Linked DNA regions of Callithrix jacchus. The protein of the gene in region 1 interacts with the protein of each later gene in a pairwise test. Links are inferred from orthologs where the notes say so. Each region holds a gene or a part of one and is shown on either strand. Other genes may lie near its edges.

What was found. The genes of interacting proteins can lie anywhere in the genome.
Region 2: the proteins of AP2B1 (region 1) and AP1M2 interact in binary tests that used the Homo sapiens proteins (3 or more experiments, as listed by UniProt). The two-hybrid records come from large-scale screens. The link is inferred for Callithrix jacchus from reciprocal best matches to the Homo sapiens genes AP2B1 and AP1M2.

What each region holds. Positions count from the first base shown.
Region 1 is NC_133506.1:98,820,464-98,824,213, reverse strand, and holds the start of AP2B1 (AP-2 complex subunit beta), read left to right. Parts: upstream 1-979; 5' UTR 980-1,028; intron 1,029-1,091; coding exon of another isoform or gene 1,092-1,112; exon of another isoform or gene 1,113-1,274; intron 1,275-3,750. UniProt on the Homo sapiens protein: Component of the adaptor protein complex 2 (AP-2). Adaptor protein complexes function in protein transport via transport vesicles in different membrane traffic pathways.
Region 2 is NC_133523.1:9,755,518-9,759,167, reverse strand, and holds part of AP1M2 (AP-1 complex subunit mu-2), read left to right. Parts: intron 1-652; coding exon 653-801; intron 802-1,509; coding exon 1,510-1,581; intron 1,582-3,465; coding exon 3,466-3,624; intron 3,625-3,650. UniProt on the Homo sapiens protein: Subunit of clathrin-associated adaptor protein complex 1 that plays a role in protein sorting in the trans-Golgi network (TGN) and endosomes.

The DNA of each region.
Region 1 (3,750 bases):
ATTTTGGAGTCTGCCCTAACCTCCCTGAAATGTTGGGTATTCAGTACAGGTCTCTACACATAATACAGACTCAATAACCTGTAAGTCATTGCATACGAGTTATTTGCAAATTGGCTATTTCAAACGCTAGGCTACCAAATAAGCACAAATTATTGCTTTGGTTTTTACCCAGTTGTCCCTAAAATCCAAGAATTAATACCTTACCTTGACCACATGCTGAAGAGCAGGTCTCACTGCTGTCATTAAACTGTCCTGTGCTACCACCTCGAAGATGGATGGCTGGTCATCGGCCACAGAAGCAGTTGTGATGTGAGCCCCGTGCTCAGCCATAGTTTCCTGTGTTGATTGGCTTTCGCTTTTCCCACGAACTCTCTCGTGAGCATGAACTTTTTTGAGAGGAAGGGTATCAGATGGGTGCTCAGTCTTAAAGGTAAACTTTCTGGATGATATCTGAAACTCGAAACTCAATTTTATGGGCAAAAATGAACTAGGAAAAAGACCTGTTCTGGAGGCGGAGGGGAGTCTCAAGAAGGTTAACAACAAAGTGAACTCGGACGTGGGTAGAAGTGGTATGTGGTGAGGGGGTAACTTGTCAAATGCTGCATCTCAGGGCCGGGCGTGACTGAGGGGACAGGTATGGGGGAAGGAACGCGATCCTCCGGAGCTGCAGTCCTGGAGTTGCGAACGAGAAATCCTCCTCAATCGTGAGAGCTCAAAAGCCAACCGACTCTGAGGATGCAGTCGTGCCAGTGTGAGCCCGGGACACGAGGACTGGCTTCAGCTGTTGACTTTGAGTATCCTCGCCAGCGCTCGTCCTTGCTCGCTGACTCCAGGCGAGGCGCAAAGAACCCACGACGCCACGTTTGAAGAGAGGTCTCCGCTTTATGACAGAAGAGGCACCCGGAAATAGAAACCACCAGGACTTCAGGGACGCCTGCGGGAAGAGAGGCGCTCTAGTCCCGAATGCGGCCCGGAAACCAGAACTAGAGAACTCTATGACCCACCCGGACTTCCGCTCCCACTCCGCTGTAAGTGAAGAGGGCCGCTGCGGGCTGGTTTTGGCTGTGACTTTTCCGCTGGTTTGGTTTTACCTTTCGTAGCTGGGTCTGCATGGTAGCCTCGGTGGAAAGCTACAGCCCTGAACGTCTCTCTGCAGAGGTCTTTTTGACAAGTTGTTTGGGGCGCCGCGCACACGTCTGGCTCCGGAAATAGTAGCTTGGGCCCGTTGCTGAACCCTGTGTTCCTGCAGGCGGTGGAGCTAGGGGCAGAGGGAGGAAGGATTTTTCTGTACACGCGCGGAACGGATGGTGGTTAATTTATATGTCTTCCCCTTCCAGAAAGGATTTAAAGCAACATACCAGGAGATAGAAGCCTTAGATTTATTGCTGCCAATTGTAAGGGAAGATGATCGGATTGAGAAAGGTTCATGTTTGTTCCTCAGTACTTGAGACGGTTAATTTTCATCCAAGCTGGTAGTTTAACTGTCTCCCAGGTTTTGGCTACATTCAGGCATAACTCCATGCACTTGCTATACTGGATAAAAATGTCTCCGTCCTTAAACACAGTCTGATATGTCACACCAGCGATGTGAATACAGTGCTAAAGCAGAGGGAGCTTTATGAATTGTAACTAGCATGCACTGGGGACACTTAGCAGAAGGGTTCCTTTCATGCCGTTTTTATGCCAAAACGAGTGTAATTTACCTTAAGGTTTGTAAAGTGCATTTATGTTATATACAGCTTTTTCTCGCTAGAGTTGGCTGACACAGCCCTATTGAAATTGGATGAGAATTCATCCTCTCCTCCTTCTGGGAAGTACTACCTCTGGGCTAAATAGCTGGGAATAGAAGGTATTGTTTACTGCCCTAGAGGCCCTTATGTTATAAAAATAATTGGTTTGCATAATGAGAACCCTCAAAAACTAGGTTTGGATTTAGTTATTCCAATAGGAGACAAAACCTTACAAATTGTCCTTATTTATAGTTTAAGAAGTGTTTTTTACTTGACCAAAATACATCATATTGATAACAAGATTTTTACCTTACATAATTTTAAGACTAGACATAGTTTATATACAGTACCTGGTACATATTAGGTTTATTGGTAGCTATTATGTACAAGCTTTTCTTTTTTTTTTTTTTTTTTTTTTTTTTTTTTTTTGAGACGGAGTTTCGCTCTTGTTACCCAGGCTGGAGTACAATGGCGTGATCTCGGCTCACCGCAACCTCCGCCCCCTGGGTTCAAGCAATTCTCCTGCCTCAGCCTCCCGAGTAGCTGGGATTACAGGCACGTGCCACCATGCCCAGCTAATTTTTTTTTGTAATTTTTAGTAGAGACGGGGTTTCACCATGTTGACCAGGATGGTCTCGATCTCTTGACCTCGTGATCCACCCACCTCGGCCTCCCAAAGGGCTGGGATTACAGGCTTGAAGTGAATAGCAAAAATACAAAGTTGAGAAGTAGCATCAACTAACTCAAGCAGGAAATTAAACATTGTTGTCACTTAGGGATCTTTGGTTACAAGCAACAGAAACAAGCTAATTTAAACTAAAACGGAATTTATTATAAGTGTATGGAGTAGGCCAGGAGTTGTGGCTCATGCTTGTAATCCCAGCACGTTGGGAGGCCGAGGCAGGTGGATCACGAGGTCATGAGATCAAGACCATCCTGGCTAACATGGTAAAACCTTGCCTCGACTAAAAATACAAAAAATTAGCCGGGTGTGGTGGCACGTGCCTGTAATCCCAGCTACTCGGGAGGCTGAGGAGGAGAATCGCTTGAACCTGGGAGGCGGAGGTTGTAGTGAGCTGAGATTGCGCCACTGCATTCCAGCCTGGGTGACAGAACCAGACAATGTCTCAAAAAAAATTTTTTTTACAAGTTAAATAAGAGATCTGGGAGGCCCAATCTTTTAGACTAGTTAATCGGAATGCCCTTCTGAGGACATAACAAAGACCTAAATTTTGAGGAGCCAACCATATAAGGAGTTGAGGAAAAGAATAGGCAGAAGTGGGCTGGGCGTGGTGGCTCACGCCTGTAATCCAAACACTTTGGAGGCCAAGGCAGGTGGACCACCTGAGGTCGGGAGTTCAAGACCACCCTGACCAACATGGTGTAACCCCGTCTTAAAAAAAAAAAAAAAAAGAATAGGCAGAAGGAACAGTATTGTGAGGACCCTAAGGTGGGAATGAGCTCGGTGTGTTTGAGGGCTATTATAACTAGCAAAAGGTGAAAATATGAGGATATGAGCAGTGACTGAAAGGCATAAAATGGTGTTAGAGAGGTAGATAGGCCAAACCATGCAGGGACTCACAGGCCATGGGAATGAACCTAGATTTTAGTCCAAGAGCAATGGGAAGCCAATGAAGGATTCGTACACCAGAGATATGATCAAGTTTATATTTTTTAAAGATGACTCTGATGATTTTATGGGTATGCAGTATTTATATCAAGCTTTACATTTATGGCATATGCACATTCTTGTTTTTAATTTGTTTTCTTGAGACAGAGTCTCACTCTGTAGCCCAGGCTGGAGTGCAGGGGCGCTATCTCAGCTCACTGCAATCTCCGCCTTCCAGGTTCAAATGATTCTTACACCTCAGACCCCCAGAGTAGCTGGTACTACATGTATGTGCCACCACGCCCAGCAAATTTTTATATTTTTAGTAGAGACAGTGTTTTGCCATGTTGGCCAGGCTTGTCTCAAACTCCTGGCCTCAAGTGACCGCTCTGCCTTAGCCTCCTAAAGTGC
Region 2 (3,650 bases), on another chromosome or scaffold:
CTCCTACCTCAGCCTCTTGAGCAGCTGGGACCACAGGCAAGTACCATCTAAGTCTTAAATTTTTTTATAGAGACAGGGATCTCATTATACTGCCCAGGTTGGTCTAAACTCCTGGCCTCAAGTGATCCTCCTGCCTTGGCCTCCCAAAGTGCTAGGATTACAGGTGTGAGCCACTGTGACCAGCTTAGCATCGTATTTAAAAGCTAGATGGCTGGGCACGGTGGCTCACGCCTGTAATCCCAATACTTTGGGAGGATGAGGAGGGTGGGTCACGAGGTCAGGCATTTAAGACCAGCCTGGCCAACAAAGTGAAACCCCATCTCTACTAAAAATACAAAAAATTAGCTGTGCGTGGTGGTGGGTGACTGTAATTCCAGCTACTCGGGAAGCTGAGGCAGGAGAATCGCTTGAACCTGGGAGGCGGAGGTGATAGTGAGCCGAGATCATGTCACTGCACTCCAGCCCAGGTGACAGGATGAGACTCCTGTCTCAAAAAAAAAAAAAAAAAATCCAAGGTTCAGATTCCAGCTCCACCCTAGTTTTTATGCAGCCTCTCTGGGCCTCGGTTTCCCCATATGGGGTGATAGTGGTGGGCAGGGAAGGTGGGGATAGGAGTTCTTCCCCCGGGTCACTCCGCACTCTCCACTCTGAGTTTCAGGCAGCAAGAACAAATCGGTGGAGCTGGAGGATGTGAAATTCCACCAGTGTGTGCGGCTCTCACGCTTTGACAACGACCGCACCATCTCCTTCATCCCGCCTGATGGTGACTTTGAGCTCATGTCCTACCGCCTCAGCACCCAGGTGAGGTAGGGTCCAGCCCCGTGTGGGTGGGGTAGGATGGGGTAGGCTGAAGAGTAGCCCTGAGCCAGGTGTGGTGGCTCACGCCTATAATCCCAGCACCTTGGGAGGCTGAGGCGGGTGAATCACTTGAGGTCAGGAGTTTGAGACCAGCCTGGCCAACAGGGTGAAGCCCCATCTCTACTAAAAATACAAAAATTAGCTGGGCATGGTGGCACATGCCTGTAATGCCAGCTCCTGGGGAGGGTGAGGCAGGAGAATTGCTTGAACCTGGTAAGCGAAGGTTGCAGTGAGCTGAGATCACGCCATTGTACTCCAGCCTGGGTGAAGAAGCCAGACTCTTCTCATAAAAAAAAAAGGGGGGGGGGCTGGTCTTGGTGACTCATGCCTGTATTCCAGCACTTTGAAAGGCCAAGGTGGGTGAATCACGAGGTCAAGAGATCAAGACCAGCCTGGCCAACATGGTGAAACTCCATCTCTATTAAAAATACAAAAATTAGCTGGGTGTGGTGGCACACACCTGTAGTCCTAGCTACTCAGGAGGCTGAGGCAGCAGAATTACTTGAACCCAGGAGGCATAGGTTGCAGTGAGCCGAGATCGCGCCACTGCACTCCAGCCTGGGTGACAGAGCAAGACTCTGTCTCAAAAAAAAAAAAAAAGAGAGAGTGACCCTGGAGTCTCCAACAACTGCTCCCATCTTTTGTCCACAGGTGAAGCCACTGATCTGGATTGAGTCTGTCATTGAGAAGTTCTCCCACAGCCGTGTGGAGATCATGGTCAAGGTGGGCCTTGGGAGCATGCTTATTAACAATGCATGAGCTCAGGTGGGTGCAGTGGCTCATGCCTGTAATCCCAGCACTTTGGGAGTCTGGAGCAGGCAGATCACTTAAGCCCAGGACTTTGAGACCAACCTGGGCAACATGGCAAAACCCTGTTTCTACAAAAAAAATACAACAATTAGCCTGGCATAGTGGTGAGTCCTTGTGATCCCAATTACTTGGGAGGCTAAGGTGGGAGGATTGCTTGAACCCAGGAGGAGGAGGTGGTTGCAGTGAGCCAAGGACTCTAGCCTGGATGATAGAGCTGGAACCCAGCCCCCCAAAAAACAGTCAGTTACCAAAGGAAAACTTCACTGGGAGTCATGGCTCATACCTGTAATCCCAGCACTTTGGGAGGCCGAGGTGGGCAGATCACCTGAGGTCAGAAGTTCAAGACCAGCCTGGCCAACATGGTGAAACCCTGTCTCTACTAAAAATACAAATATTAGCCAGGTGTGGTGGCGCTCACCTTAATCCCAGTCACTCAGGGGGCTGAGGCAGGAGAATCGCTTGAACTCCAAGGCAGAGGTTGTGGTGAGCCGAGAGCATGCCATTGCACTCTAGTCTGGGCAATAAGAGTGAAACTTCATATCTAAAACAACAACAACAAAACAGGCCAGACAAGGTGGCTCACATCTGTAATTCCAGCACTTTGGGAGGCCAAGGCGAGTGAATCATGAGGTCAGGAGTTCGAGACTAGCCTGACCAACATGGTGAAACCCCGTCTCTACTAAAAATGCAAAAATTAGCCAGGCGTGGTGCTGCGCGCCTGTAACGCCAGCTACCTGGGAGGCTGAGGCAGGAGAATGGCTTAAACCTGGGAGGTGGAAGTTTCGGTGAGCTGAGATTGTGCCCCTGCACTCTAGCCTGGGCGACAGAGTGAGACTGTCTCAAAAAACAAACAAACCAAACCAAACCAAAACAAAAAACAACTCTTCTGTGCTGGACTGAGGGGTTGGTTTGTTCGTTTTGAGGCGGAATCTCCCTCTGTTGCCCAGGCTGGAGTGCAGTAGCACGTTCTCGGCTCACTGCAACCTCTGCCTCCTGAGTTCAAGTGATTTGCCTGCCTCAGCCTCTGGAGTAGCTGGGATTATAGGTGAGTGCCCCCATGCCCAGCTAATTTTTGTATTTTTAGTAGAACTCCTGCCCTCAGGGTATCTGCCTGCTTCACCCTCGGCCTCCCAAAATGCTGGGATTGCAGGCATGAACCATTGCGGCAGGCCAGAAGGGGTCATTTTGAATCAGGCAGAGGTGTATGGTGCTGTCCAAATGGAAGGCACCAAGAGCGGGGCTTCTGGTGGCTCACGGGTGTGGCCCTGGCTCTACCACTTGTTGGCTGTGTATCTGCAGGGAAATGCCTTAACTTCTGTGTACCTCAGTTTCCTTGTCTGCAAAATGGACAGGATAGGCAGGCATGGTACTCATTCCTGCAATCCCAGCACTTTGGGAGGCTGAGGTGGGTGCATCACAAGGTCAGGAGATCGAGACCAGCCTGGCTAATATGGTGAAACCTCGTCTCTACTAAAAATACAAAACAATTAGCTGGGCATGGTGGCGTGTACCTGTAGTCCCAGTTACTCCGGGGGGCGCGGGGGCCGGGGGCTCTGAGGCAGAATAACCTCTTGAACCTAGGAGGCAGAGGTTGCAGTGAGCTGAGATTGTGCCACTACACTCCAGCCTGGGCAACAGAGCGAGACTCTGTCTCAAAAAACAAACAAAAACTGGACAGGATAATGTCGCCACCTTAGAATGTGGAGCCCTGGCTGAGATGGCGTAGGAAAGGGCTTGGTGAATATTTGTAGGGTGTGCAGTCGAATTCTTCATGCTGCATGCTCTCCCCTCTGATAGGCCAAGGGGCAGTTTAAGAAACAGTCAGTGGCCAACGGTGTGGAGATATCTGTGCCTGTGCCTAGTGATGCCGACTCCCCCAGATTCAAGACCAGTGTGGGCAGCGCCAAGTATGTGCCAGAGAAAAACGTCGTGATTTGGAGTATTAAGTCTTTCCCGGTAAGGACTAGGGACTGGTGGGGAAT